3 linked regions of the Cricetulus griseus genome follow. The protein of the gene in region 3 interacts with the protein of the main gene of each other region in a biochemical or structural test. Links are inferred from orthologs where the notes say so. Each region holds a gene or a part of one and is shown on either strand. Other genes may lie near its edges. The genes, in order: Sik2, Zbtb16 and Hdac5.

The links.
Region 1: of the proteins of Hdac5 (region 3) and Sik2, one has a biochemical effect on the other in vitro, tested with the Homo sapiens proteins (2 studies listed by BioGRID). The link is inferred for Cricetulus griseus from reciprocal best matches to the Homo sapiens genes HDAC5 and SIK2.
Region 2: the proteins of Hdac5 (region 3) and Zbtb16 form a complex in vitro, tested with the Homo sapiens proteins (2 studies listed by BioGRID). The link is inferred for Cricetulus griseus from reciprocal best matches to the Homo sapiens genes HDAC5 and ZBTB16.

What each region holds. Positions count from the first base shown.
Region 1 is NC_048597.1:162,659,493-162,670,086, forward strand, and holds the end of Sik2 (serine/threonine-protein kinase SIK2), read right to left. Parts: intron 9,962-10,594; coding exon 9,733-9,961; intron 9,123-9,732; coding exon 8,838-9,122; intron 8,713-8,837; coding exon 8,549-8,712; intron 7,841-8,548; coding exon 7,730-7,840; intron 7,098-7,729; coding exon 7,006-7,097; intron 6,227-7,005; coding exon 5,618-6,226; intron 4,267-5,617; coding exon of another isoform or gene 4,242-4,266; exon of another isoform or gene 3,835-4,241; coding exon of another isoform or gene 3,819-3,834; exon of another isoform or gene 3,640-3,818; coding exon 3,552-3,639; 3' UTR 2,962-3,551; downstream 1-2,961. Other genes in the region: Ppp2r1b (serine/threonine-protein phosphatase 2A 65 kDa regulatory subunit A beta isoform), read left to right, coding at 1,736-1,801. UniProt on the Homo sapiens protein: Serine/threonine-protein kinase that plays a role in many biological processes such as fatty acid oxidation, autophagy, immune response or glucose metabolism.
Region 2 is NC_048597.1:160,432,231-160,442,824, forward strand, and holds part of Zbtb16 (zinc finger and BTB domain-containing protein 16), read right to left. Parts: intron 6,850-10,594; coding exon 6,679-6,849; intron 1,892-6,678; coding exon 1,724-1,891; intron 1-1,723. UniProt on the Homo sapiens protein: Acts as a transcriptional repressor. Transcriptional repression may be mediated through recruitment of histone deacetylases to target promoters. May play a role in myeloid maturation and in the development and/or maintenance of other differentiated tissues.
Region 3 is NC_048600.1:115,899,163-115,909,352, reverse strand, and holds the end of Hdac5 (histone deacetylase 5), read right to left. Parts: intron 9,657-10,190; coding exon 9,523-9,656; intron 9,205-9,522; coding exon 9,084-9,204; intron 8,737-9,083; coding exon 8,687-8,736; intron 8,528-8,686; coding exon 8,420-8,527; intron 8,069-8,419; coding exon 8,013-8,068; intron 7,890-8,012; coding exon 7,802-7,889; intron 6,762-7,801; coding exon 6,642-6,761; intron 6,401-6,641; coding exon 6,303-6,400; intron 6,142-6,302; coding exon 6,023-6,141; intron 5,668-6,022; coding exon 5,534-5,667; intron 5,309-5,533; coding exon 5,224-5,308; intron 5,088-5,223; coding exon 4,922-5,087; intron 4,836-4,921; coding exon 4,796-4,835; downstream 1-4,795. Other genes in the region: G6pc3 (glucose-6-phosphatase 3), read left to right, coding at 994-1,100, 1,432-1,522, 1,709-1,827, 2,026-2,167, 2,374-2,737. UniProt on the Homo sapiens protein: Responsible for the deacetylation of lysine residues on the N-terminal part of the core histones (H2A, H2B, H3 and H4).

The sequences.
Region 1 (10,594 bases), on a different chromosome or scaffold from region 3:
ATGCTATCCACCAGGGTGTTGCTTGTATTTCTATTTTTAAAGCTACCCCTACTCACCCATTTTGGTTCTGAAAAGACCTAGCATTCCATCAACAAAGCTCGTTAACATTTTGTAATCCTGAAAGTGTTTTATAAGCCTTCCTACTTGTCAGGACTTAATTGTAAGGAAATGTGCTGGGTGGTAGCGACACACACCTTTAATTCCAGCACTTGGAGATGGAGGCAGGCTGATCTCTGAGTTCAAGGTCTACATAGTAAACCAGGATATTCTAGGACAGTCAGAGCTACATAGTGAGACTCTGTTTCAAAAGACCATTTAGAAAAAGAAAGGGAGGAAGAAAAGGAAAGAAACAGGAAGGAAAGAAAAAAAAGGAAAGAAATGTTCTACACGACATCCCTTTAGGATAGAGGTTGAGTTCACAATTCCCTGGGCAGCCATCTTCTCTGGGGTTGACTGTTGACTAAGAAAGCCCTCTGGCAATCAGGGAGGAGTGTGTCCTTCCAATATATACTGAACAAAAGCAACGGGTTACATAACTTTGAATAAACAAACCTCCTTAATTGAAGCCTAAATTTTTGAGATTTATTGGACAGCAAGATGGCCAATCTCTGGTGTCTGTGTCTCCTGCTCCTTGTCTGGTGCAGTCACCTGGATAACTGCAGTGGGCACTTAAAGCCAAGCAGCTGTCAGGTGGAGGGTGCAGCCATCTGGACAGCGCCTTGTTTACATAGCTGCCTGCTTACTATGAAAAGATGTGCTGCTGAAGGGGAGGGGCTATGGGACAGGGCTCCAACAAGGAGCAAAGCCAGAAGTCAGGCAACAGAGGTGCTTGTCTCAGCTGAGGTCACAGCTCAGAAGTGGTGATAGCTAAGTCATGTATCCTTTGAGAGCACTGCTTTCCTCAGCTGTGAGAAATACAGATCGGATCTCTCTAGCTAATTTCACAGAACTGGTGTGAGAACTGCAGGAGAGCACTTGTGAAAGTGCTTGGTATGTTGCTGTGAAAACGGACAGGCAAGCTGAGAGGGCAGGCCCTGTAAGAACCATCCTTAGTTAAGCTGTTGGGCAGTAATCCTACCTGTTTGTCAACCCATGCAGCCACAGGACCCAAATCTGCTCACATACAATGTGGACATAAGATGTGGTTGCAACTATGAAGGCTGGAAGTCTTCTAGAATCAATTAGACTGTTGTAACTGGGTAAAAATGGCTAAACAAATAAGTGAGGTGATGTTGGGAGATCAGAGACTTTAGGGCCAAAAGGGCCCTTTAAGGGTCATTGTCTCATTCCATTTGCGCGCATGTGTGTGTGTGTGTGTGTGTGTGTGTGTGTGTGTGTGTGTGTGTGTGAGAGAGAGAGAGAGAGAGAGAAGAGAGAGAGAGAGAGAGAGATGTGTGTGTGAGAGAGAGAGAGAGAGAGAATGTGTGTGTGAGTGAGAGAGAGAGAGAATGTGTGTGTGTGAGTGAGAGAGAGAGAGAGAGAGAATGTGTGTGAGTGAGAGAGAGAGAAAAAGAGAGAGAGAGAGAGAGAGAGAGAGAGAGAGAGAGAGAGAGAGAGAGTGAGTGTGTGTAAGCATTGAAGTGTGTTTTTGTCCAGTGTTGAAACAGGCTGATGATACTGCTCTTGTCTCCCACAAATCACTCTGAAGGTAAGTTCTGTAAAAAATTTCCAGAAGCAACAAAATGATCAAGATCCCTGCCTGGGCAATGACTCCAACTTACTACCTGTTCTCCAGTTTTTACCTTTGATGTCTAGGCACAGAGAGGCCGAGCGGCTCCAGTGGCTTCCAAGGAGGCAGTAGATGCAGCCCCGCTTAGGGGTACAAATGCAGCAAAGGTCAGCCCTGGCACAGGGACTCTGCAACTGCCCAGTGGGATCAGTGTCATCAAATGACACTATATATAGTTTCTAAAGGAGGAGGAATGTCAAAAAATCACCCGACTGTGAATTTTCTTTAAACCAGTAGAGAGCTTAAGTCACTGTTGATTTGAGTGTAAAAGTGTAATGCACAGCAGAGAGACTGGTCCTCATATATTTAAGCTGACTTGTTTAGAGGCTAAAGAACCCCAGAGTAAGGACAGCCTACTGAGTCCCCATGTCCTGATCAGCTGGTCTAGAAGCTGCTAATTTTTGGGTTCCTTCAGCTTCTGGCTCATCACTGTGTCACTTTCCAGCTGAGAACACACTCCTTAGTATCCCTGCCTTAGGTATAATGGCTCCTGGGGTAGAGGTAGAGAGGCCTATGATGAGTCCTTGCTGAGTGCCCTAGTTATTGGGCAGGGCAGAGGGTGTTGCTCCATGGGCTGGGTTGACGGGTGTATGGGGTAGGGGCACTGTAACAGTAAAGACTCAATTATACAAGTTAGGAGGGGGTGTGGCAGGCAAAGGCTGAAGTCCTACCTCCCTGACACCAGTTCAGGATTTAACACTTCTGATCTTGATTTTTGAGATAGAGGGTCCCTGGCTTTCTAATGTTACAGCCACTGCCTCCCAAGTGCTGGGATTAAAGGTGTGCACCATCACAGGCCGGCGGGGACCCTGGCTTTCTTTTTCCTAGGACACAAAGCAAAAGTAAGGGCTTTGCTCAGAGCAGCTCTTAAGCCTCACATCAGTCTCAAAGGCTCTTCCTGGGTTCTCTTTGTCTTCCATTGGGTAGATTCTGGAGGGTTTGTTCCCAAGGTAGCAGGAAGGCAGTTCAGGCAGGCCCAGTCAGGGCAGGGTTAGGGCTGGCATTGGTCAGGCAGCTCCCTGGGAATAGAGGAGTGGGAGCCCGAAACTTGTCTTCCTGTTGCATTAACACCCTTTATTTGCCTTACAGGGACCAGCATGTCAGTAGCATGTAAATACTAGAGACACACTTGCCCAACTGGAGACTGCGGAACTAATGCATTTCCCCCAAAGCAGAGAGTGAAACCTGGATAACAAGAGACCATAAACAAAAATAAAAAAGTACCACACATATTGCACTTTTTGCCGAATGAAAATTTTACCTCATGTTTGAATCACCAGTCTCTTTGGAGAGGCTGGTTTACAAGATAACAAAGCTAAGGGTTATTACTATACAGTAGTGTACACACTGCTGATATGAACTGACAGGCAAGCATGTCAGTATTTCAGAACTGCCTCTCAGCCAGAATGGGCCTAAGCCTCCTTAGTGTTACTTTAGTACTTGGGAGGAGAAATGGCTTGGAAGCTTCCATGGTCACTAGTTAGGGGACAGCAACAGAAACAATCAGGTGAGCTGACCACCATCTGCTCTCACCAGTTTCCATCTCAGGACATAAAGGTAGCCATAGAATGAGGGATTTCTACTTGAAAGGAGTGAGAGGAGCAAACGGGAGCTTACGACAGGATCCAGCATGATGGTTCGTGTTCTTCACCAGGCGACTGTCCTCACCTCCGCTCTGTGTGTCAGTGCCTAACAGGCTGTCTGTTGATGGGTGCTCCCGGCTTCTCTCTGCAGCCTGTAACCTTCTGACAGCCTCTCCGTAGCCCCTCATCTGTCGCCTAACTGTCCTGCCATAGCTGCTAGGTCTCCTGGGCTAAGCAGCTCACAGCCCTGTTGGGGGGCAGGAGTTTATGCCAATCTGTAGCGGTGCTGTTCTTGCAGTCCTGAAATGAGCGGCCCCCATTTTCAATCTGGAAGGCATTTTCATTTCGTCAATATTATAGCGCTTCTGCAGTATGTTTTGGGAAAACATCCTCCTCCAGTCTAAACAGATCAAGCCCCATTTTATAGCTGGCTTATTTTGTGAAGCTTTAAAACGTATTAGAGATCTTAATGAAATGATCTCTCAAATGAAATGATGTTCTTTATCTCACAAAATCATCGATCTTAAGCATGAGGAGGAACAGAAACAAAAGAAACAAATTTATCCTTACTGGATTTTCAGTTATTCAATCACAAAATGACAGTCCCTCCTACTATCTATTCCTGCTGACACCCACAGCCCAATTCCAAGCAGAGCGCATTTGCAAAGCAGCCCAGCACCAGTTGGGACCCAACAACTACAGTCTCTGGCCAGCCTCAAAGATGCTAGCTCGCTCGAATCACCAGCACTGGCAGGGGCTGGGCTGGTGGCCAGGATGGCTCTCCGTAGACTTCCCATGCCTAGTCTTCCCTTGCCTGCCTGGACACTTACTACAGAGAGGAAAGGCAACTTATAGGTGTTTCTAGGTGCAGCATCAGTGTAGTAGCTCTCTTCTTGTGCTTTAAGGAAGACGCTTTGTGCTTAGTGCATTCATCTGCTGATAGGACAAGCCACTCTAAAGAACAGAAATTATAATTTTTATAAATAATACTGAGTTTGTAACACCTGGATGTCACTGTGCAAATGACAGAATTACTTCTCACTAGGTGACTAGCTATAGCATCTATTTTTCAATTCTTCTGATGAGTGAATTAAAGGGTTAAGCTTTTCTGGTAAATGGCTAGCACATCTGTGGTTCTTTGAATATTGCTATAATACTTGAACATTTCACACAAATCAAAACTTTACGGAAATTAAGAATTCTGATTCCCACACAGTGGAAAACAAACTGAAGTGGCTTTGGATTTAGCAAGGACATGGAAACCTTGGTTTCTATAGAAAAGAAAGTTTGATGAGGTGGGGGAAGGCACAGCACTACCACTCACTCACATGGGACATAAACATTGTTTGTGTACCCTGAAAAATCTAAACCCTACATGAAATTGTCCAACTATGCAAAGCTCCACAAGCTCTTAACAACAGAGTGGAGAGCCAGAGGGACTACTACAGTGTAGCAGACAGGAGGTCTCTGGAGACTGGAGGTTGTGCAGGAAAAGCCTGGCTTCCCAGCTCATGGCCCAAGTTCCTTATGCTTTCTGGTTTCTGCTTCAGCCTGCACTGTGTCAGGTCTCCTGCTGTCTCTACAGGCGAGAGCTTTGAAGCCCTGAGTATTTTAACACTGGGCCACCCAGGGACACTTTTGAAAAGGTATTATCACATGCTCCCAGATGACTGCAGGTTTCAGGGGGTCAGTACCAGCTGCTACTTAGTGTCTGTGAAACACTCCTTAGGCTCCACTACTGTGCAGTGGTCTTAAGGACACCCTATATCAACAGCCAAGAACTTATGATTTTGTGACAACACATAACTTCCCTCTCTTCCCTGTGCATCAGATTTCATGATACATCTTGATATGCCTTGAGGCACTTTGCTGATGCTTGGCTTTAGTAAAATATACTGTCTTGTCTTTTTCCCTAGGTGTATGTAGACAACATACACATTTTTCCTGCTTTTACCAAGGTTTTCCTTGGAAGAGAACTGGTGTAAAACCTAGGTCTGTATGTTATTTTATACAGACGCTTGTTGGTACTCCCTTGAGAGCTTGTTCCACTTTATCTAAGGGCATTGGCTTCAGCCTCCAACTATGTTCTAGCCCTTGCCACAGAAAATTGTGTGGTGGGACAGAGCTGGGAGGAGCATCTACCCTAGTCAAACTCTGATTCCAGTTGGAAAACTTGATTTTTCCCCATTAGGGAAAGGGAAAAACTAAGCTTAAGTTTAAAGGGCTGGAATAAAAATAGAAACACAGTTTGCCTTCACTAGAGCCACCTTACTTCCTGTGCTGAGATTAATTCACCAGGACATACCCATTGTGTTGTGGATCCACAGCTTCTAGCATTTCACAATCAAAGAGTCCAGGGAGCTCAGAGAGGGCCAGCGGGTCATAGCTAGATGGGGCTTCCTGAAGTCCTGAGCTCCTGGAACAGTCCGCGCCTGTGAGGCTGCTCTGCTGGGCTCCATCCACAGGATAGTGACAGGGAGCAGGATAGTCTGGTGCAGAGGAGGTGGTGCTTGGCAGCTCACAAGTCTGATAGGAGAACTGTAAGGGGGCTGGAGCAGCTCCTGGCTGCTGAGGTGGAGGAGGTGGTGGTGGTGGGGGTGGCTGCTGCAATTGTGAGGGTAAGGGATGTGGAGCCCGGGGGCTGGGTGTGGAGGGCAGGGGCTGCAACTGCATCTCCGGGTATTGGCTGAGGAAAGGGCTAAATTGCATCTGCTCAGAAGAGGGCTCGAGGACTGGGCTCAGGGGCTGGGTCAGGCTGAATGGTGGGGACTGCTGGGATGGCGGTGGAGTCTCCTGGTGGGGTAGAGCCAGCTGCTGACTTGGTCGAGGGTAGGAGCTCTCTGCTATCTGCATCTGATTAAAATAAGCTTGCAGCTGAGACTGCTTCTGGAGGAAGAGTCGCTTCTGCTGGAGCCTAAATTGACAACACCAAAAGAGCATTTTACATCTCAAGGGAATGTAATTTCAATGTAAATTCAATACCAGGCATTAACTTCACTTTCCCTTTCTTTTCTGTTTTATTTCTGAGAATCTTCTATATACTCTAGGCTGGCCTCAAATTTGTGATCTTCCTGACCTAGTATCCCAAGTGCTAGGGATTCCAGGGATGCACCCTCACACCTGACACCCCATCTCTGTCTTTCTCTTTTCCATGCAAGGGGAATAAAATCAGAGTAAATTCACCACACTGGGTTTTGCCTCTATTTGACTGGCCGCTCTGAGGTAAGTGAGCACTGATGCACTGTCTCTCAAGTTTCTCCCTCTAGAGAGGCTAATTACTCATGAAGATTACTCAGAAAAAGGTAACATCTTGGCCTCTATGAGTGTATAGGTAGGGTGATGATTAGGGCAATTTTACTTTGACCAAGCAGCTTCTACTGGTGGGACCAGCAGGCATGAACACACCAAGGAGAGAGCCTCCTCAGTGTAACAGACTGCTTCTGAAATCTTAGGGCTGACCATATTATCCCAGAGAAATACAAAGACATGACAAGGTGTATAGGGGGCCGCTGTTGCCTGCCAGGCTTATACTCTGGGATTTAACAACCTCATTAACACCATGCCCAAACAGAAAATGACCATGTACCACTGCATGGGCCTCGGAGAAGCAACTAGAATGGAAAAGGACCATACACCAGCATTCTCCAGACTGCCATGAAAATAACTAACTTTACTGGCCAAAGACTTCCTCACCTATGTTCCTGTAGCTGCTGTTCCAGGCTCCGAGGTGGTTCTTTACAATATATTGGACAAGTATTCTGGGCCTTTGGCAGAAGATTAGGCTTCTGGAAGATCAGAAAAGCAACAAGAGCCTAAACATATACATGCTATCAGTTGGATGCAGCTGAGGTGTACCCTTTGGATGCCTGTTTGGACAGTAGATTGACATGTGGCTTACAGAATCCAGAGTTCACTAAGACCCTGGAAGAGGACCAGGTCAGCAGGCCTTGGCATCTAGTTCTGGCCTACATGTTTTCCACTTTTAAAATTCCTTCAGGACAGGGAGGTTCATGGAGAACAGTGAGAAAATCAGACTTAGTTCTTGACAGGAAGCCACAGTGCCTGCTGAGTGATTCATTCTCAATGGGATCTATGCTGTATCGTTTCTTAGGATCTTCATGCACCAGTATAGACAGTCTCGTTAGCATTTTATATATTAGAGTTCCCATCTTATTATTCATAAGTATATTCATAAATATAAAATAAGAACAAGCCAGATCTCTCTTTTAGAGCACTCAGTGGCATATCCTTTCCTACTGTCATCAGAGGGCATAAAGCTAAGTTTGAACATGTTCCTAGAAACTACAAATGTAGGGTTAAATCTACCTGCTTATAATTAATAACGCAGCTACCTTAAATAATGCAAAATGGGTTTCTGTGACGAAGTGAGTTACACTAAGAGTGCCAAGGAGCCCACCTGGAGTCGATGCTGTAGGTACTGGGTTTCCAAGCTCTGTTGCGGAGAAAGTTGAGGATGCATGCTAGCAGAGAGTGTGGAGACACTTTCCTGTTGTTGAGAGACTTCCTCCTAAGGATCAAGGCAGTGGACATTTCAATTTCTATGTGAGAAAGTTTCAATTCATAGTCAAGCACCTTTGCAAATGACTGAATAGAATCTGGGCTTCATATGACCTAATACCCCAAAGCTTTTATCTAACTAGTAGGTTGAATGCTGCTTTCAGAGAATCTATACAGAGCTAATAACTCAACTATTACCTAGTCAGTACTAGAACAAAAGCACCTGCCTGGTATCACAAGAAGGGCTTACATACAATGTGGGCCCAGAATATGATATCTTTGATGCACTGAACATTGGCTCAAGAAATAGCAACATTTATTATATTTTAATGTGACTAATCTTCATATTTAATAGTGAGTTCACATCAAAAGTTTTGTCAAGAAGCTTTTCATTTGGTTGACGTTCATTAACATCAAGTGTGTGTGTGTGTGTGTGTGTGTGTGTGTGGGAGGGGGGTCAAGGGAGACTGAGTCATCCATATATAATCTGCCTGCTTTGTGAACCAAAACTAGACTGATCCTGAAGGCCTCTGTCTGGTGCTGAGCATCTGGAAGCAACATAGCTGGATTTAAGCTGTTAGTGACAGCAGCAAGAAAACCTCTGAGACCTGGGGCTTTCCCATAAAGCCAGCTTAGTTAGGAGTAGGAGGAAACTCTCTAACTGAAAACCACACATCTGTAGGACAAATGTGGTGTTGAGAAGAGCCTGCACACTCACCTGAGGGCAGCTGCTCGAGAGGTCTTGGAGCTGAGGAGCAGTTGATGTTAAGTTAGAGTCTGCCTCTGATCCTATTTGTTCATAGAGCAATTGCACTTTGTTCAACTCCAGAATACCTTTGGTTCTAGCAAGATTCTGAAGATGTTGTCTAAATGCTACAATTCCTATAAAGTACAAACAGTTTAAGAAGCAAAATAGGCCTTTTAGTTATACATTCACACCAGCAAGACAACAACCTTCTTTCATGCCTCTGATTGAAGTTTTCAAAGCCAGAAAAGAAAGCACGTACCTTGGGTAAGGGAAGTGTCTGATGCTCTGCGGCCTTCTCGGAAGCTCACAGGGGACCGATTGTGGACCTCACGTTTCTGCGAGCTCAGAGCCTGCATGGCTGGGTTGGTAGGTCTGAGGCTTATGAAAGGAGATGTCATGCGGGGTGAAGGCTGATTAACTAACATGATGTCCTTCAGGGAAGGGCTGTCTTCCAGAAAGTTCAGGTCCCTTTGGGCAGACCCCATATCATACTCAGAGTCTACACTGTCAAGTGAGGGGTTGTCACTCATAGAGAAAATTTTCCCTGTAGAAAAAAAATTAAAACAGGTATTACCCAAACAAATAGCATCTTCTTTAAACACACTGACAAAAAGCAAGACAAAATGGCAGACTCGAGCCTTGACAGCCACAATCTTTCAGGATGGGCAAGAGGACTGGGGTACTCTTCATGAGTCTGGAAAACAGAAAACTGACCTAAAAGAAAAGTTCTTTCAGGGCTGAGGAGCCTAAGTGTAATTCAGGGGCAGAAGAATTTCCTAACACGCTGAAGACCTGCAGTCAGTCTCCAGCACCACAAACAATTCTCCATCTTTCCAGAATGCTTTTACTGGTTAGTTTAACCATCTTCAAGTTTGGTGAGAAAAACCCCATGGAAACTAAAGCCATAAGAGAGCCATAATCCCTTGAGGAAGCATACTGTATCCAAAGAAACCTGGAGTGGAGGGAGTCAACTCAGAGACATTGCCTTTTAATCTCTGTCAGCTGCTGAGTAGACCTAATTCACATAATTCACATGTCAGTTAATCACATGGCATCTACTCCATAAGGGAAGGGGATACAGTCACTATTTCTTGATGCCTGAAGTATGAAACACTGCTGTAAGGGTTTAACTTGGTGCTGCTCTGACATCATACCTGCCCCGGGCATCACAACCAATTGGTTAGTCACTTCTGACAGAGTGTGCCGTCGCTGCCCACTCCGTGTGGCCTGGAAAGCTTCAAAGGCCTGACTGGGGTCTTCCTCAGTCTCTCCTTCTGTCTCCAACCCTTCATCAATGGAGGTCTCCATCATATTGCTGGGCAGGGACTGACATCCCTTCCTCACCAGGACAGGGGGCACAGGGTCAAGCAGACAGCCATTCACCTGTCAGTGTGAGAGGAAGCACAGCTGAAGCTCTGCTGAGGAATACCCACAGCAGAAAAATAGGCTAAGACTTCAATAAAGTAAAATATTAAAGTGTATGCATTTACTCCCAGTGGCAGCACTGACATTAGAAGTGAAGGTAAGTCAACTACAGTGCTTAAAGACAGAAGCCCACGAGGACCCAAATTGGCACTGGCACCCAGGTTACTCTGAGTCATCACTGTTACAATAACCACCGTTTCCAGTATAGATGAATAGGATGTACTGGCTTAAGGGTTATCAGTTATTATTTAAATAAGGAAAACAGGAGAGGAAGATGAGCTGTTTTTCACTTCTACAGCCAATGTCTCATAGCTGAGAGAGAACAGTCACCAATGTTCTAATTTCCAACCACTTTTATGTTCATAACTTAAGTACTGACCTATTGATATTTTGCTTTTAAACTGGTTCTAATGCGCTTGAGGAATGGAAAGGAAGAATTTGTTGTAGATAGACAGGTACCACAAAAAGTACTGAAAAAAAATTCAAATGGCAAACAGCCAAAACCTTCCATTATAGAATAACAAATGACTCACGGCTCAAAATTCCAGCAGAGGTTAATAAGCCCCAGTGCACGGAATCCTCACCCACCAG
Region 2 (10,594 bases), on a different chromosome or scaffold from region 3:
GTTACAGATGGTAAGGAGGGGTAGGGGAAATCCAAGGAATCCCATCCTTCAAACACATCACATCTGGGGCCATCTACACACTAACTCTCTAAGGACCTCCCCAGACTTTACCTCTCATTCTAGGGCTTGTGCAGAGGGGTGGTACAGGGAACCTAGGAGAGCACAATGACACCTTAGTCTTCAATCTAGACTATCCCTTCCACCAGAGTCCCCTGGAGCTGAGCAGAGATGTAAGGGAACCTTGTTTCAATACAGTAATTAACTGGTCAGCCATCTAGCTATCAATACTCCTCCGTGCCGAGGCCCCGGCAAATAATGAAGTAATGAACAGCCAAAGTGATCTAACTATCGACCAGCTATTTACAATAGTCATCGCCAATGCATTTAATGATCTGCCCACTAGGTCACATCCCACAACAAGAGACTGAGGAAACCCCAGAACTCTGGGATATCCCTTGGGCTACTTGTGTTGTCAGCAATGAATACCCCATCCCTTCCTGTGGCTTTAAGCCAGAGGCAAGAAAAACAGAGTGCAGGCAAGAAGAATGAGTTCTGAGAACAACTCTGCCTTCCACTCCTGCTGGTTACTTGCCCCTCCCCAGGCTATTCCCTCCCTTAAGCCAACTGAGGTCACCATGCCCTCCTTTGGACTGGGTGCTGTCCCTACTAGTCAGAAAGGGCATCTTCCTTTGCTCTGTTTCACCCTCAGCCTCACAGAAAATGCTACCTCCCCGCAGCTGGTGGACTGCAGGGGGTGGGTATTTAACAGCCAGCTCTCCAAAGACACATAGCTCTATTGCTATGCGGTCAATATTCCCACTGGGGCCCATTTTAAGCAACCAAGATGATGTCATTGAACTTGAAATGGGGAAGAAATAGAACAGGTTTTTCAGTTAAGTAGAGGCCAGCTCTAGGCTCTATTGCCTCTGATTCTAAACCCTTTCTACCTGTCTGTCCTGAGACCCCAGCAAAAGCAGAGACTCACATTTCCTCTGTGTAAAAAGGAATGTGGAAGCACTCGGACATGATGGAACAGTCTCCTATTAAATACATTGGCTCCTTTCTTTTCAGAACAGACCAGAACCAATACCACAATTTCCTGACCCTTATCATAACTTAATGCCCTCTGATTCTGCCTCCAACCATGAATGGAACAAAATGAAACCACTCAAACTTCACTTTTCACTAATCTGGCCAACTTAACCTTAATTCAGGATTTGGAATAAGGACCATATTGCCAATAGCACTCGTGGATGATTTTGTTGTTGTTGTTGTTGTGATTGCTTCAGGGGACTGACTGGGCCCATGAGACGTGCTGCAATTGGTTACCAATATCTGCCACACCTGATTAGTGACAATGTCGTTGGCCTTGAGAGAAGGATCATGGTACTCAGACCACCATATCTCTCTCTCTCTCTCTCTCTCTCTCTCTCTCTCTCTCTCTCTCTCTCTCTGTATTCGTGTGTGTGTGTGTGTGTGTGTGTGTGTGTGTGTGTGTGTGTGTTGCCTTCTGAGGCCTGAAGAGGGTGCTAGGAAACAAATTCTGATACCCTGGAAGAACAGGAAGCACTCTCACACCATCGAGCCATCCCTCCATATTATCCCTTTTTTTCTCTGGTTGAACTTTGAACTGTGTTTACTTGGGCTTCTGCTTTGGACCACCTGCTCCCAGTCACCACCCAAGTCCCAGAGCCAGCCTGGGGCCCATCCCTGCCCTGGGTACCTGTGTGAACCCTGTAGTGCGTTTCCAGCTGGTGCTTGAGGCTGAATTTCTTGCCGCAGCCATTGCACTCATAGGGTTTCTCCCCTGTGTGGATGCGCTTGTGGTTCTTGAGCGTGCTCTCATCCCGGAAGCAGCTGCCACAGAACTCACACTCATACGGGTGGTCACCTGTAAGGACAAGGGGTTCAATCAGACCCTTGCTTCCTCCTGCCTCTGTTTCAGGGACAGCAGGGCACATTCGGTGTCCTCAGATTGCCTATGCTCACCACCTTCAAAGGTGACCTGACTGGTCCCCACAACATGAACAGAGGTTCCTGTGTTTTTACCCAGATTTCACTATAGCCCTAAAGCCATCCATGGGATAACAGCCAGTCCCAGAAGAGAAAGCCTGCTTGGCTCAGCAAAGAGCAGCAACCATCAGGAAGCAGGGTCTTGTGAGGGTGGAACAGAGCTGGGCTTTGAGACCTCGTCTTACACTACCTCCTCTCCCTTTCCCTCTGGTTTGGGGCCAGGGGCCACTCCAGCCTAGCTTCCCCAAACTCAAAAATACCCCTCCGACTCAGGGAGCTTCTTTTTGCTTCCCAAATGTCATCTGCTCTTTCTGCTACTTCACCAGTTAACTGACAATCCCTCTGTTTCATTCCCACTTCTTTCCCTGGTGAACCCCTAGCCATCCTTCAAAGCCCGGCTCATCTACCACCTCCATTTGGATGCTTCCCTTTGGTTCCTCAGGCAGACTAAGCTATATTTCCTTCTCTGTCCCCAAAGAGAAGAATATTGAACACTTTGGGTCTTTTACTCATAGAAATACGTTTAAAAGAATTCTTTCCCGTTGACATTGCCCATATTTGGCATATTCTTACTGCTAGCTGAAGACTTCACAGAGATCATGTCCATGGAAACTCTCTGATGAAAGGTGTGCTTATTTTACAAATGGGGCAGGGGAGTTGCTTAGAGATACTTAGCCACTGTCCCAAGGTCACCTAGCTAGAAGTAGATAGATTGGAACTTTGGCTCTGGTCTGGCCCCAGGGTCTGGACACTGGTCACTTACCACATGGCTAAGTGACACATTGTATTGTATTGACTAACAGGGCCACCTAGAAGTGTTTCTCCCCCCCCCCTCAGTGCTTGCCCAGGAATGACTCAGAACCAACTCTTGGAGAATTCTGGGTACTGGACTGTGAGACCAGCCCTTCCTCAGCCTAGAATCATGTCCATTAGTTTAATTTTCTCCCCTGGACACTCCACCCTTCCATCCCTGTGGCCCAAGGGGGTAGGGAGTGGGGTTAACCACCTTGCATTTCTGTAACGGAGGTGTCGAGCTTAGGGGATGAAAGGTGAGGACTTGAGCTACTTATTCATTACAGGAGTGAAGGCGCAGACAATAAAGATAGATTGATCACCCCAGACTTTGTTCATGAATATTTAAATATCGCTGATTCGTCTTGTCACTGTAATTACAATTTCTCTGGGCTGCATCTCCAACAACCACAGTTTATGGTAAAGAATGGCCCACTGTATTTCACTTGTTCCTCTGCAGATGTGCGAGGCTGCCAACCGTGTAATGTCCTCCGCATTTCATACATTCTCTTCAGCTGCTGAAGGCTTAAGTCATCCACAATGACCTACGTTTTTTCATTATCCCCATGTCAAACTGTGCTCGTGCCTCGGCATAAATTGTCCTTCTCCTTATAGACTCGTAGGCCTGTGCCTTCACTTCCTCTTTAAAATGATATTTTACTCTCTCTGCCGTCTCCTTTCCGTGGGCCGCTAACCAAACATCCCTCTTCCTGAATGCAGGCCCCTGAACCCACATAAATTCTCACCTCCTCCGATGGCTTGGAACGGTTTCTGAGACTCTGTGGGGAGTGGTTGTTGGGTGGTCTGTTCACTGGCCAACAAAAAGCACCGAGGGCAAAAGGGGTGGGTGGGGCACCATTAAAGAAACCAAAGAACCATCCCTTCTATCCAGTCCTCACCATCTTTGGGGCACTGTCCCGGGTCAGAAGCTTCGCTGACCAGTGAGCTGGAGATGGACTGAGTCCTGGAGTTCTGAACTGGGGAAACCAACCCTTGTCTCTCACTACTAGCACTATACCGAGGACCTGTTCCCAGCCCCATCAAAGCCAAGAGGCTAGCCCTCACTGACACAGGTGCTACTCTACTGTGGGTCTATCATAGTAGAGCGGGGGCAGTCTGTGTATAAGACTCTCTGTCTGCACACGTGGCCCCGTCTGGTCTGACATCTAGCTCCCCCTCCTTCCTGAATCGGCAACGATTACGACTTTAATCAAAGATTCAGTATCCTCATTAAGATATAAATAAATAAATAAAGCAAGGGCCACATGAGACTTCAGCCGAAGCTGGTAATTAAAACGTACATCGGCAGTCACCCAGCCCCCTCTCCCCCTGCCCAGGAAGAAGGGGCTGCCATGAGGGAGGGCTGGCTGCCTGTGTGTGCCTCTTGCTTCCAGAGGAGGGCCCTAAGAGTTTAACAAACAGCAGAGGGGTTTGTTTGACCAGATTTTTATGAATTTAATTACGAACTGGATCACATGTTAAATGAGTTTAAATAGGAACTCTCTTGAGTCTGCCCTGGGAAAGAATAAAACACATTCAGAAAATGAAAGAAAGAAAGAAAAAAAGACAAGTCATCAAGACTCATACCCACCCTCACCTCCCACCCAGGTTTTACAGCTCAATGGTTACCAGACCTACAACCCTCACCCTGAGAGCTAATCATGTCAGGCTGGCCATAATGTACATAAAACTGGCGACAGAAGTCAAAATCCAATTTGTGGTATGTTGATTAACTCTGTAGACGCGTTAATGAGCTTGACATTAAGTGCAGGACAAACGAGACTAATTAGAGCCCCTCTGGCCTACCCAAGGCACCTGTGACCCTTCTTCTTCCCCAGTTTGTCATTACATAGTGGCTTTCTTACCTCTGGCCAAGCCCAGTGTCATCCTTCCCACCCTAGTCCCAGCCCCTGGGCTCCTTGGATCCCTTTCTCTTGGTCCCTCCCTTCAGTGCAGCTGAGAGTTTATTATATGATGAGCCATGTGAATCAAGGATCCATCAATGCCAAGAGCATGGCTGGACTAACGTACCAAACACAGCTGCTGATGCTAAACACCGGCCCCAGCAGCAAATGGGCCAAGAACAACAGAATATTAATGAGGCATTGTGTCGGGGGTGTGCAGAGCCTGTGCTGGGCTGGTGTGAAAATCAATGGGTGCTTGAATGTGTGAGCGCAAGGGGCACACATGTCTGTGTTTCTAGAATAAGCAAGGGTTTCTCCCTAACTCTGTCCTTGCTGGGGATCTGAAGCATAGCTGACGCAGGGGTAGGGCAGGAATGACATGGGCTAACTGAACTCTGAGAAGTTGGTATGGGCAAAATAAGTTGCATGTTGGGTGGACTCAGTAGGGCCTGGATCATCACATCTTGTGAAGTCAAGTGACTTGACCCAGTGGCATACCTGGAAGTGGCTAAAGGAGGCTTGCCATCTTCCCTAAGACTGAACTTAGGGACCTGCTGAGGGAGAGAGACATTGATGGGATGGTGTCTACATCTTACAGGGAGATTCGTATACAGATACTGTAGAGAAACTCATCGAGCGTATACTCCTTTCTCTTTGGTTCCTTTTGCTGGACCTTACCAGCTAAGACCTCCTCCTTTCTACTGATTAGCCTGAGGCAGTCCTAAGCATCTTGTGGGCCATTCACATTTGGTAATGGTATGGCACTGTGCTCCTCTAACCAGGATGCTATCCAGAACCTAGAGCCAAGGCAGGCTCCTTGGTGAGAATGCCTACAACTGGCAAGGTAGTCCAGCTCAGCCCCTGAGAGTAAAACTTACTCATCAGAGCCTGTCACCCATGTGAGGACCAGCCACACGCTCTACCCGAGCTATGAAAAGGCTCTGAAGAATGAGATTCTTCCAACCATCCGTGAAGCATGCAGGGAATTCATGTCCTCTCTAGTAGACCTGTGTATGTACTCTGCTACATTCTTTCACAGAGATTTAATCCCAGATCTCCCAAAAAACAGATCAGGAACATACACACACAGACACATATGATTCAGAAAGTGCCATTCTTTCACCCCGGGACAGTAAGAGATGATCTCATTTTACTTTAGGGCAAAGAAAGGAATTAAGTCATCTATTCCTCTGTTAGGAAAAGACCAAAGGTTCCTTCAAGGCCTTCTGACACTGGATGTCCTATTCCCTAAAGCTAGAGGGTAGTGGCAGGGATAGGCTAGGACTGGGCAACTAGCCCTGCCTACTTGACTCACACATACCCTGTCTTTCACCCCATTGTGTGAACTGGCTGAACAGGGCTATCTCTTGGCTTGTTGTTCAAATACTCTCATTGTCTTCTCTAGACAACATTAAGGCCAAAGTAGAGGCCCCCTGTCTCTGTTGTGAAGGCAGGATGAGTTCTTCAGTGTGCCTTCTGGTGCCCTGAGCTGACTTCAGTGCTATTCTTGGATGGATTGAGGAAGTGGTGGGACTGTAATAGAGTTAGGCCAGTTTTCTCAAAATGCACTCTGGTACCCACTGCATCAGAATCCCTTGGGAACACTTATTAGTGGTGTTGGGATCTAGAGCCCATCCTGGACCGCTAAATCACAGTTTCTGAGAGTAGAAATCAAGAGTATGGTAGTTGTTTTTGTTTTTTGTTTTTTTAATGAATATTTTCTGTGCTGTGTGTGGAAAGCCGGGAACAGACAGACTGTCTACAGGTGCGGGGGTGAGTTGGGAGAACTGTTAACATTTCAATCTCTATGGGAGCCCTTCTGTGTCCAACTTCAAGTAGAGAAAGGCTATAAATGTCTCAACCTGGAACACGCCCCTTCCTCCCCCATGCCATTTTGGAAGTTAAACCCAGATATAACAGATATAAGGTCTAGAGATGCCGCCCCCCACCCCCCCCCCGACCAGCCTACCTGTGTGTGAGCGAAGGTGCCGTTTGAGAGCTGTGTGGCTGGGAAAGGTGCGGTTGCACTCACTGCAGATATAGCTTCGCACGCCTGCATGGACCTCCATGTGCTGTTGGAGAGCGCTCTGTGCCTGGAAGCGCTTCCCACACAGCAGACAGAAGACAGCCATGTCTGTGCCTGTGGGAGACAGTAGTGGGAAAACCTCAGTAAGGCAGAGACCCAAGGCCAGATTTTCATCCCTGAAGGTGAAATCAAATTCAAAGTCAAACCCAGGGTTAGCACAGGCCATGCAATGTTGACTGAGCAACCTGAATATAGCTCCAGAGGGAAAAATGCCAACAGGTGTCCAGCATCCAGGAGACCTAAAGATTAGTGGAGAAAGACCCAAAACCACACAGATGGCCAAACATGTTTCTACAAGTGTCTTGAGTCCAATGTAGGAGAAGGTGGGTGACTGGGTGCCTGTAATCACAGGAAATTTATAGTATCTGAGACAGGGGTGGGAAGATGAGGTAGAACCTGTGAAAACCAACAATAACCTGGATCATACGGGTTGGCCATTGTTGTTAATGTAACTCTCTAAAAACCACAAACTTCATCTGAGGAGAGAGAAGCACAGTAGACTAACTCATTCCAATCTCCAAAGAATCTGCAGTTGGGAGCAGTGGAGGGATTCATTCATTCATTCATTTCCTGAGGTTAGCTGTAGACAACGTTCTTTTTTTCTTCTTTCTTTCCTTCTTCCTCCCTCCCTTTGTTCATTCCTTCTTTCCTTCCTTCTTTCTTTCCTCCCCCTATTCCTCCTTCTTCTTTCTCTTTTTTAAAGACAAGGTTTCTCTGTGTAGCCCTGGCTGTCCTGGAACTAGCTTTGTAGACCAGGAGACCTCAAACTCAAATCCTCCTGCCTCTGCCTCCCCAGTGCTGTGACAAAAGGTGTGCCCCACCATCGCCTGGTGAACACATCCTTCTAACCACTTTCTCATTTAGGTAATCAGGAATCTCGAGAGCCACTTCATTCCACAAATAGTGCTGTGATACTTTCTACAAGGAAGACTCTCTTTGAGGGCTGTGATGATGGAAAAGCATACTGGTATACCTGCTCTAATCTCAATACCACTCAGCACCCAGTGCACCAAGAGAACATACAAGAGGATGGAATGGAGTCTGTGAACACTTAGGGGAGCCAAAACTAAGTAGAGTAGGGATGACAAGTCCTAACTGTGGAAAGAGGGAGAAGGTGAGAAGAGGTTAAAGACGAGCCGGGAGCCAGATTTTGTGGGGTCCTGACCAGCCATGCCAGTTTCATCATAAGACCAATGGGAAGTTGTCAAAGGATTTAAAACTAATGAGTCCCATGAGATATTTGTTCAGTTCTGCCCTCCCACTCGGCTGGTTGACCAGTAGCCCATGGGCCTCACTGAACCCCACAAAGGCAGATTGCTATTTTCTGTTCATTAACCCCTTCCTGATGTTACACTGGACCTACAGCCTTCCAGCTCAGTCTCAGCTCATAGCTCCTTGTCTGCCATTTTGGATCTCATCTCCCCAAGAACATCAGCTCCTTCTGCTTGTCTCTCTGCCAGTGTCTGGGCAGCATGGCCTGTGCTCAGGAGCATAATGCTGTCCCTCGTGTTAGGGACACAAACAGAAAAGGTGGTCAGGTCTGTCAGTCTAGTCCAAATGGAGGGAGTGTCAGAGCATTTGGGCTGCTTTGTGGGGACATGAGGAAGCTTCCAGGGGCAGGTGAGAGAGGAAGGGATGGGACAATGAAGAGCCTTGCTGCTTCCCTGACTGGAAAGAGCTAGGGCCAATGGGAGGGCTTGTTCTTGCCTCCTCAGGATCATACATGGTTCAGTTTGGAATAAAGGTGGGGACCACCACTCATCACCATCCTCTCTCTTCTCACAATTACCTGATGGCCCCTCTCTGTGGACACTGAAGTCTAAGTACCTGCAGCCATGCTTCAACTACCAATAACTAGGAGGGCTGCATGGGGGGAGAAAATGTCCTCCAAAGCTCTGAGGACAGAATGGAAGGAGAGACAATAAAGGCCATTTTAGCTAGGTGCTTTATCTGTGCAGTCATCTCATTTAAAACTTGCATCCCTGTAGGGTGGGCTTTCATAGCTACCTTCTTACAAAGAGAAAAACAGAGATGAAATAACTTGCCTAAGGTCACACAGTGACAAAGAGGTAGAATCAGGAATCTAGAAATGTCTTGGTCTATTTGATTCCAGAAATCACTGATCAGACTCCCTTTATTTTTACTTTATTTTTTTTTGAGAGAGAGAGAGAGAGAGAGAGAGAGAGAGAGAGAGAGAGAGAGAGAGAGAGAGAGAGAGAGTATTGTGTGTGTGGCACTGCTGGAGGCCATAGGTTGACATCAGGATGCCTCTCCATCTATTTCATCAAGATAGGATCTTTCATTGAACAGTTTTGGCTAGGCTAGCTGGCCATTGAATCATGGGATTGGCCTGTCCCCACTACCTGTGTTGGGATTACAGGCACACACAGCCATGCCTAGCTGTTATGTGGGTGCTGGGCATCCAAATGCAAGTCCTCATACTTGCACAGCAGGAGGGAGCCAGTGAGATCTCTGGGAGAGATCTTAAGTCCTCAGCCCCATCCGATGGAAAAAGACATGCTGAGAGAAGCAGTCTGCCTGGCAGAAGCTTCGAGGACTGACACGGAGTCCTTCAGTGTCCAAGCAAGCCTGGTAAACACAAGGAGAGTCCACCCACAACACGTTTTAACACACAGCACATCAGTCCCAGCTTCTTTAAGCTGAGGGTTCCCAGCACCTGCACCCTCTGTACCCTGGACTCTACCCCACAGAAGGCCCCAATTAGGCCAGGTGTTCAAACAGCTGCCTCAAATCAGCCTGAGGGAGCAGGCTTCTTGAACAGCCGGGCCTTTTACCAGCCAAGACATCTTACTCTTATTCTGAGATCCCCAGTATAGAAAACAAGGGTGAATGAATGGCATTCCAGGAGGACACCCGGAAAGGCACCACCTAGAGGAGCAGACTGAGTCTCCTGTGGCATTCTGTCCCCTTGCTGTTCCTAAGATGCTTGGAGGCTTCCCTAGTGGGTCACCTCCATCTCACAGAATGGCCTGAACTTGATTTGTGTCCATTGACCTGTCTCACCCCATTACCAAGTGATCACCAAGAGGCTGAGATGGAGCAGAGAATTTTAGATATCAAGCCTGGGGTGGAGGGCACCGGTCAAGAAATACCACCCAGAGCATGGGTGAGACAAGGGTGACTCTGCAAAAGCCTCAGAAGAGATTTTGAGTTCTGTTCTGAGAAATGGGGTCCATCTGAGAAGCAAATGTAGGAAATGAGATACCCGTCCCTGGCTAAGGAAACACTCCAGATGGATTTCAGAGCAGGTAGAACAGAGGATGGAGAGAAGCCAGGAAAACCTGGGAGGTCAGATCATCACATGTGCCAGGAAAAACAGTACAGATGCCATCCTACAGGCAAAGCAGGGCCATAGAAGGACTAGAGGATGGCAAAGGTCTAGACGTTGGTGTCCTCTCACTCACACCAAAAATGAGTATGTTAAAATCATTATCCTCCCAGTGATTAACAGGTGGGGGCTTTACCAAGTCTTTTATTACAAAGGTGGAGCCCTCCTCAACAAGATTAGTGCCCTTATAAAAAAAGGATCCATTTTCATAGTTAGGACACAGGACACAGTCAGAAGTCTGCAGTCTGCAACTAGGAAGAGGGACCTCCTGGGAACCCAGCCATGCTGGAATCCCTATCTCAGACTGCCCAGCCTTTGGGACATGTTACAGCAACTCAAACTGACTGAAGACGGGTACAAGTGTCCAACAGCCTGGTGGGCAGTGTCTCTCTAGGTAGCCAAGGTGTGGATGGTCCCACATGGCTGAAAGCAGAAAGAGGGGGTTAACAG
Region 3 (10,190 bases):
AATGACATACTGAAAAGCAGACTAGGAGTCCCCCTACGTCCTGCCATTTTCCACAAGGGCTTCATGCTTACTTGTAAACCTAAAAGCAGTTGTCAGATCATTTCCTTCTGGCCTAACGGCCACTATCCTGTGCTTTGTGCTTTCCCCTCCTTCAGTCTGTCTGAGTAACAAAGCCCCTAATTCCTCTTCTTCTCTTCCTCCTCCTCCTTCATTGAAACAAGATCTCACTATCTAAGCCAGAATGGTGGTCCTCTTGCCTCAGTCTCCCCGGTGCTGGGATGGCAGGCATACACTAGTATGCCTGACCCTGTATTCATTTTATAGCTTTGTGTTCAACATTTGATGTATGTGAGGCTCAGTTTTTGGTGGGAAAAGACAAGTCTCTTCTGAAACCCCCCCCCCACACACACTTTGCTTCCTGCTCCTTCATCTTTTCTCTTTCTGGCCACAGCAGCCTCATCTAGATCGAGCTCTCCAGACGCCAAACAAGCATCTGCTAAGCCAAGGGAGTTGGACTTTTTTTGGGGGGGGGGTGTCTTCCTTAGTCTTTCTCAGACTGCTCTGTACATTCCCAGCTCCCAATTTCACACTCAAGATGCTCACCTATATAATTCAGGGGTGGGTAACTCAGGCTGGAACCAGGAGCCTGAGGGGGGGAACAGGGATGGGAAATGAGATCAGGAAAGCCAGGTCCCAAGAAGAGCTGGCCATGCAGTGAGTGGGAGGGATAAGAATGGCTCATGTGTCTCAAGAGAATATGTACACCCCCCCACACACAGTCTCTCTCTACAACCTCTGGCCTCCATATCACTTTAAAAGGAAAATGTGTGCTTCTCTATGCTCCAAATTAGAAAGTCATGGTAAGATAAACAGCTAGAATCAGAGTGTCCTTCTGAGTGCACCCAGCAGGTCCTCCAGATTCCTACTGTCCCCTCGATCCCTCCAGCACTGTGTGTGTGTGTGTCATATGGCCTTGTATCTTGTGTCTTCCAGGTTTCTGTTTGGAGACAGGCCCTTTTGGTGGGTGCATGAGTCTGGGTACTCCAGCCAGACTCCAGTCCAGGTTCACCAGTTCCCCTCTTCTTGTGAGACTGGCCCAGGTGGGAAAAGCTCCAACTTCCTCCCATTCCTGGTGTGGTTAAGGTTCAGATAAAAATTTCCATATACTTCAGCTAGGGTGGTCCAAACAGGGCCAGCCTCTTAGTTACTGGTCTGGAAAACAAGCCCTGGGGAAGACCAGGTTGAGTGACAAGCCTCAGCTGGCTAGTCACCTCATAGATAGTAAAGCCAGGCACATGGCAAGGCAGAAGCCTGAGAACGGTGACCTTGAGAGAAAGGTCTCAGAGGGAGTGATCGGCTGGTATTGGGAAAGCTGTACCAGGGGCACCTGGGTTTTATTGTTTCACCATGAACTTCTGGCTCTCCCGGCAGGCAGCCCTTCTGGCCATTGCATGATCACGGGAGCAGCTCTCTGGCCTATAATGACAGCCATTTCTTCTCAGGTGGCATCTCGGTCCCGAAGGTATGACCATGGTATTTATTGTCCACCAGTAGCAGTATTCTGAACCCCAAAGTCTCCACAGCATATTAGTTTGGGAACTAGAGTTGTTGTGACCTGGGGGTGTTGGTTCAGACTCTGAAGTATTTGGATGCTGAAGAAAGCAAAGCCACGTTCATCCCTTGAGCCATTTGTCTCTCTTCTTTCTAGCCCCTGGGTAAGGGTGATTCCTAGCCTGGCTTATTGCACCTTCTTATTGGCAGTCGGCCTATCTCGGGTCTTCCTCTTAGCACATTTCCCTCACCAGGTGTTGGCAGGCCTTATAACTGGTGAGCAACTGGGGTAACAGGGTGGGCCAAGAGGGTGTCTTTGGCAGTGGGAGGACCAGTCTAGAAACTTCCCAGCATTCCCAGCTTTTGTAGAGCCAACCTCAAGGTCCCCGCCTTTGTCATAGTTTGTTTTCCCGCCTGGATGAAAGGGGTAGATCATTTCCTCAAACATCTAGTAACAGTTTTACATCCCTCTAGGTGCTGTGCTTGGCTGGCTTATGGCTCCACATGTGCCCATGGAACGGGAACTTAGCTTCTATGGGTTGACTGCTCTGGCCCTTATGCTGGGTGCCAGCCTCATGTATTGGACTCTTTTTACACTGGGCCTGGATCTTTCCTGGTAAGTCCTGCTTTGGCGTCTGGGCAGCTGGACCTTGTATCTAGATGGTAGGTCTCTGATTCACTGTAGCTATAAAAGGGCACATGAACTGTTCCTAGACAGATGTGGAGTCAATACATGGGAGCAGGTCCCCAAGGGAAGACAGCCAGGAGCCAGTGGCTGTCTGGATTCCAGTCTCTCCTGGTTAAGACTCTGCTTCCTCACAGGTCCATCAGCCTGGCTTCCAAGTGGTGTGAGCGGCCCGAGTGGGTGCATTTGGACAGTCGACCCTTTGCCTCACTGAGCCGTGTCTCGGGAACTGCCCTGGGTCTTGGCATTGCTTTACACTCTCCCTGTTATGGCCAGATACGGCGGGCATACCTGGGAAACGGCCAGAAGATAGCTTGCTTTTTGCTGGCCATTGGGCTGCTGGTCATCTTGGAATGGCTGGGCCACCCACCTCAGATCAGCCTCTTCTACATCTTCAACTTCCTCAAATACACCCTCTGGCCCTGCCTGGTCTTGGCCCTTGTGCCCTGGCTGGTGCACACATTCAGTGTCCAGGAAGCACCACCCATTCACTCCTCTTGATGTCTCTTGCCTCCCTTGCCGCTCTCTTGCCCAAAGACAACACTCCTTGACCACCACACTCTAAAAGGCAGTCCTTTTCCTGGGCTCCAAAATTGGCCCGGCTCACAGGGAACTTCATTTCCTATCTCATGTTCTGTAATTTTAGCCCCTTTTTTAAAAGGACCTGTTTCCCAAGGAGGCTGTTTCCTGCCTTCCCCCAGGGTCCCCACAAAGCAAAAGCAGAAGCAACCAGCAGGTGTGGTGGGGATGGAGTGCTGGGTTCCTGACATTGACAAGCAGCTCAGGAAAGTCTCAATAAAGCTCTTGAAACTTGTGGATTCCTTTCTTGCCTATGCTCACATCTCCGTTGACTTTGCCTGCATGAACTGCATGTGCACCAATGGAGCCTCCGGCCCCTACAAAGACAAAGTAAACAGGGGCTGAAAAGTCAGCTGAGTCCTCACCCCTCCTCCCTGACAAGGCCGTAGCAGAGATCTCTTGAGATATGATGGCAACAATCCAGTGGACACTCCCCCAGGAGAACAGGAATCTCCCACCCTAGCCCCCCCCCCCCGCACCACACACACACACACACACACACACACACACACACTGCCTCAGACAGAATTCTAGTCCAAGGCTGAAGAAAAGGCAGCATTTTGGTTAGGAAAGAAATGAGCACTTTTACTCCATGTGGGAACCCAGAGAACAGACATTATTCCCAGTATTTACACAAGGACACACAGTGTGGCATGATACAAAATACTTAACTAAAATCCATGTCCAGGGGGACAGAGCAGGAGTGGGTTTACATGAGAATAAGACCAGCCCATGGTGAAAGTGAGGCCTGGAGCCCTGGGCTCAGTGCAAGGATGATCAGCACACAGACACACTAATAACTAATAACTCCGTAGCTCCCTCAACCCTGCTCAGGCCCCCATCAGGATAGTATGTAAACAAATTGCTGGGCTCTTGGGATGGAAGGAGAGAATGTGGTATAGGAGTTGGCCCCCTAGGTGCCACGTCCCATCTTTGGTTTCCTACAGGGTAGACCACGCTCACTGGAAGCCTGTGGGCTGCAACCTCTGAACACAGGTTACTGGAAAAGAAGATGTACAGCCCCTAACCCCCTCATGCTGAGAGCCCTGCCCTGGGCTTCTGGGCAGAGGATTCTGGCCTTGTCTATTCTAGAGCCACCTCTTTGACCATACCCAGGCTTCAAAGCAAAAACAATCCAGAAGGAAACTGAGTCTTGATCCTTTCACTTGCAGCAGGCTGATGGCTGAAGGAAATCTGGTCCAGAACATCAAAGGGGCTTGCTTGCAAGAACTTGAAGACCCCACGTAGTCTAGCTTCTCCTCTCCCTATGCTGGGCCAGCACAAGGCAGGAAGGTCAACAGAATAAAGTAGAGAACCTGCTCGTGTATGCAGGTCCTCCTGCCCGCCCCAACCCAGCTGCGGGTCACCCTGTAACCCTCCGGGGTCCTGGGAGTGTGAAACAAGAAATCTGGCCACAAATCTAAGGCCCACATCTTGGGCACAAGTCTGCAGTGCTGCATGAATCCAGAGAGGAGGGGGTTTGCAGAATGCTGAGGACAGAGAGGAAGGGGGAGTTAAGGGTAGAAGCCTAACCTCCTCCACTCTTCGTCTTAAGTAGTAGTGAATCTTCCTGAGGAGGTGGGTGTTGGGGGGGGGGGTGTGGAGGTGAAGTTATTAAGGCATTTCCCAAAAGCCAGCCCAAGCCAAGGCACCAACTTACTGTTCCCATCACAAGTAGCTCCAGAATTGGAGGTTCTGCCCAGAGTACTGTCCAACGTAGAAAAGAGTACAGAGACTTGGGCATGAGATAACAACGCTATCTCAGAGAAGTGAATGCTACACCCAACCCTCACAGCAGGAATGGACTCCTAAAGCTGGGGCATGGACCATGTGTTGGTGGTAGGAGGGCTGAAGCAGCTTGGAAGAGCAAGTCTGAGAGACCCACACAGCACACGGTGTTGAATGTGTGACTTTTTGTTTTTAATAGAAAAAATAAACAAAATCGCAATGATGAAGCCCAGAGGAATGGGGGCCAGGGTGTCACAGGGTAGGCTCCTGCTCCATGGGCTCCTCTGCTGGCCTGTGGGGACAAGCACAGGGAGGGGACTCAGTAGAGAGCATTCACTACCTTACCCAGGGCAGGGAGATGGGAGGTGAGATGCTTACCTGGGGCTGTGCTCTTGAGTGGCAACAGCCTGGGCCTGCTCAGCGCCCACAGAGAGCAGGGCCATGGCGCTCACAGTCTCGGCCTCCTCAGTCTCACCTGCCTGAGCCTCCTGCAGAGAGCAGCCCAGACCAGTGGCAAACCTCTGCACACAGCTCCAGTGTTTGCCTGTGCAAAAGGGACAGACAGGTTCAGGGAGAACAGACTGGTCTAGACATACCTGCTAGCCCTGGTACCCCACTCCCCATGTGCCCCGCCTGCCTGGCAGGTTGAGGTATGAGCCCCTCTGCCTGTCCCCACGCACTCTGGATCTCGATGACTTTCTCTAGTGTGGCAACTGCATTGATGCTGGGTTTTTGCTGCAAAACTGCTTCATCCAAGGGCTGTAGCTGCAGAGAAAAGAAGAGCAGGCTTAGAGTGGGGTTAGGGGCAATTGCCTAGCTCTCCAACTATCCCCATTCAGCCCAGACAGTCCTGTACTGGCAAGCACAGGCTTTTGGGAGGAACCCTAATCAGCCTTCCTTGGCCAACTATTTCTCAGACCTAGGCAAACCTCAAGGAGCCCGTGAGGTGGATATCCCACCTGTTGTTCCACGTCTGTGTGGCCCACTCACCTCTACACTGAGCAGAGCCGAGACACAGGCCTCAGAGGCATCACAGATGGCGGTCAAGTCATGGCCTCCCTCCAGGGCCAGCACCACCCGGCCCCCTGCCAGTGTCATGAGCTGCCTGGTCAAGTGGCCAAAACCTTTGTATGGGAGTAAAGAGCAAAGGATAAGTGATAAATCGGATCAAAGAGAAGAAGGAGAAAAAAGGTAGGACAGCAGACTTCAGCCCCAGTGCATCTACAATGAGATGAAATGTCAGTGAACTTAACGGAGACAGGCTAAGATGAGTTGTGTTTCTGGTAGGTCAAGGCCAGTGAGCTCCAGTGGAAGATACTTTGTTTGCTACTCCACTTCTACCTGCTGGGCCCATGGCGGGGTTGGCAGATGAGTGGGTAGAGCTACTAAAGTCTTAGACTTACTCCCTGCAGTGTCAACTTATTCCCTGTCCCATGTGCCTCAGTGTTCCACACCCTCCCAGACCCCTAGTAGGCTCACATCTGGCGGTGACAGAATAGCCACCCAGTGGAGACAGATGTCCTTCGACAGCATCAAACCCAGCGGAGACTAGGACGACGTCAGGTGAGAACTCGTGGGCAATGGGCATCACCACTGTCCTGTAAAGGGATGGCCCAAGCTAATGCCAGCAGAGGCCAGGCTGAGCCTTGCCATGCTCTGTTCTCCATTGAGGCCATACCCCTCCGCCACCCCAACTGAGTGCCTGCTGCCCTTGCCAGCTCAGGGTCCCACACCTCCTTTGGCTCTTCTCAGTCCCCACCTGAAGGCTGTTAGGTATTCCACGTCTCCGATGGGGGGATCCACACCTCCTGTCCATGCCACATTAACATTGTACCCCATGCCTGGCCCTCCGCCAACCTGGCATAAGGTAGGAGAGGTCACTATCACTGCCCTGGATCCCAAACACTGCTCCCTACCCCACCCCCCCCCACACCCCACCTCTGTTTTCCCTGACTAGCAGTCAGATCTGTGTGGTCCTCCCACTAGGAGCCCAAGAATGCCACAGGGGCCATCACTATGAATGGACTTCTGTGGCTTCCTGCCAGATCCTAGCATGCTACCTCCCAAAAGGGCTCACATGAAGGCCCAGGGGTTGTACCTCTTCAGGGGCCCCAGAGCCTGGAAAGAAGTTCCCATTGTCATAGCGATGCAGGGAGATGTAGAGCACAGAGGGGTCATCGTAGAATGCTTGCTGGGTGCCATTGCCATGGTGAATGTCCTAATGGGGGTAAGTGCAGGGTGCTTTGGGCACCAGTCTAAGCTCTAATCCAAAGGCTCACATGCCACCTGTTCCCCACCCACCCTCCCATTAGCTCTCAAGATGAGCCCACCAGTGGCTCCAGGACTGCGACCCTGAGTCCAGGCTCTAGAGCCATGGGATGAATATGGTTTATCTCCCTGCAGAACCCATTTCACTGACGTGCAAGGGAAAGTCAGGCTGGCAAGGAATTTAACACAGGCAAATAGATTCTGAAGAAGGATCCCAGGATCCTTCTTCAGAAGGATCAACATTTCCATGAATTTGTTTTCTTTTGAGGCAGGTAGTCTCACTAGGTAGTCCAGGCTAGTCTTGAACTCTCAATCCTCCTGCCTCAGTCTCCTAAGTGCTGGGATTATAGTTGTGCACCATACCTGAATACATGATTTTAGATCAAAATTGGATTTCAAAAATTCTATCCTTGCTGATCAACTGCCCAGTGATTCCTCAAGCACAGTGAGCCGTTTGTGCCCTTTCCCCACCATGACAGCAGGAGGCTGAGGAACGCCCACAGCCTCAGGAACAGAGGTGTGGCATCCTTGCTAAGTAACCCAACAGTGTCCTCCTCACTTAAAGAAGTGGAGGGCTACTTTGCACTGCCAGAGGTGGCTATGAGCAGCACAGGGTCAGCTTTCTGGCATTCAGCAGCCCCTAGGGTAAGGGCAAAGGGGGAAAGGGGTCTGACAGTGTAGTAGCACCACCCCTGTCCTTGCTGCTCAGAGTAGGTCATCATCGGGATGTTGGATGCTGCTAGGGGAAGATAAGGTAAATGAGGCTAAGAACATACTGGGGTCCCCCAGGGAGGACCCACCCTACTGGAATGAGAGCACTGGCCTGATGATGAAGCAAGAAGGATACAAACTTGTCAACATGTGAAGCCAACCAGTGAGCCCTAAGTGCCTGCCGCCCAGAGGTGGAGTGAGCCGCCTGGAGGCGCTTCTGAAGGCCTTCCCTGGCACCGCCCTGCCCATCCCTGCCCAGGCACCCAGCCTGCTGCCTACCCAGTCCACGATGAGGACCTTGCCCACGTTCAACTTCTGCTGCAGGAGCTTAGCTGTGATGGCTACGGAGTTGAAGAAGCAGAATCCCCTGAGGGGTGTGGGGAGGAAGAGAGGGCAAGGAGGTCAGCTTGAATGATGTGAGGTTTGCTTCCAGTGAAAGAGAGGAAAAGCTGATGGCAGAGGGCCAGGGTCAGGGCAGAGTGGTACTCACATGGCTGTGGACTCCTCAGCATGATGTCCTGGGGGCCGGATGATGGCAAATCCATTCTGAAGTACAAGCAGAAGGGCAACTGTCAGGAAAGTCATGCAGCCAGGGGCAGGGTAGATACAGGAGAGAAGCACAAGCCAGGCAGGGATGGGAACACAGAAATGCACTTTTATGACTGTCAACTACAGGCCCCCAGGAAACAGTTGTCTCTCAGGCTTTAGTGCCTACTTGGTTCCCCATGGCCCTCAAACCATGGCTGTCCCTCAAGCTTCTCCCCATCCTAGCACTAAGACTTTAAAGTTGCAAAGGACAATGTCTTGATGAAGGGAAGTCAGTGCTTCCCCTGAGCACCTGCTCCTGAAGACACAGGACCCAGGCAAGGGGCATGGAGGCCACAAGTATATCCTTACCTTGAGCTCCCCTGCAGCCACCTTGAAGGCCAGCTCTACCAGGCAGCCCACTGCCATTCGCACAGCACTGGAGGAGTGCATCTCATTCCATACAGTATCACTGTCCACCTGCGGGGGCAGGAGATCGGGCTTCAGTGTGCCCTCTGCAGGGGGAGGGGAGGAACGGGAGTGGGCACCAGAGAGCAGGCCAGCAGCCATGGGGGCAGGGAGGAAGGAGCCAAGCCGGGGGAGCCACTTGCCCACTCCAATCACACATATTCAACTCACCCCAATGCCCCCACAAGGCAGCATGGCATACATCTTCTGGCTGATGGGCCCTGAAGGAAAGAGGGACAGAGATGCTCTAAAAGGTGTCCCAGTTGCCAGTTGGCATGGGCTATGCAGTCCATGCCAGCTGAGAGCCTCTATCCTCTGTTCTGGGGAGATGACCTATCTCTGGAGGCAAACAGTAGGGACATGACAGGTTGGGAAGAAACACAGACCACTACCACCAAGTCCACCTTTATGCCTGATGCCCAGTATATTCAATCTGCGTCTAGGCAAAAGACACCCTCTTGGGGTGTGACCCCACTAGGACTGCTGTCTACTCTGGCTTGGTGGTCTTCATGACAGCCCCATCACACTCAGACTGAGGACACACATGGGAACATGCCCTGCAGCTCACCAAGCAGCTTCTTGCTGTCCAGCTTCTGCCGGTTGAGGGGGCTGGTCCCATAGAGCAAGGTGTGGTACTCAGAGTGCACTGTCTGGATTTCATCCAGTGTGGCTTTACGACCCCGGATCCGCTGCCAGGGGAGGTCAAGAGAGGCCAGAGAGCGTTGACAAGGCTCGACTTGCTTGACAACTACAGCCCAATGCTCACAGAGCCAACCTCCAGGAGAGCCAAAGGATGTGGAGTAACTATGCCTTGGCCCTTGAGAGACCCCACTCCAGGACTCTTTCCCAGGTTATCTGGGGACCCTGAGGGAAGCAGACCACAAGGGATGGAACTGGGAAAGTCTCAGGACTGACTGGAGGGCTGGGGCATGGGAGAGGCTTTGCTGGAAGGGCAGTGAAGGCACCACTCAGATGGAATTCCCAGCTGAAGGTAGGGGCTCCCTCACCTCACACTTGCTGAGCAGGCCAGTTTCCTGCAGCCGGGACCAGATGCTCTGGATGCGGCCGGCGTGCTCTGGGTGTACATGTGTGTTCCCGCACATGCACTGGTGCTTCAGCATGAACGTGTCATAGACCACACCTGGGCCACAGACCCTTGTGTCAGCCACAACTGTTCTGAACCCTACTGCACATCCTGTCCTAGTAACTATCTCTGACTATCCACCAACACTCACCTACATACCCTCTCTCCTCTTCAAACCCAGCCTGGCTGCTGCTGGTCCCAATCTCTGTCCTCTGCATCCCCTATACCGTCCCCATGGGACCTTCCTCCTTTTCCCCATCATGTCTGCCCATGCTCTGTTCCCCACTGGTGAGACAGTCAGTAAGTCTGTGCCATGTCAGAACCGAGCATGTGGCAGCCTTATGGGCAAAGGCCTTCTGGGTTCTACTGAGGCCTCACTGCCAACCCCACAGGGAGGAAGGAGACCAGGAGGCTAGAAGGGCAAGAACTAAAAGAAGCAGTGGACTCTCCACCCAAGGCTCTAGGACTTGTGGGATGATGGTGCAAAAGCAGGTGCCCTAGGTGGAGGGTGGGGGCACAGAGAAGACAACGCTGCCCCCGGGAGTAGGAGCAAAGCTGCCTACCCTCTTGCTTGGAGAGAAGCTGCTGCTG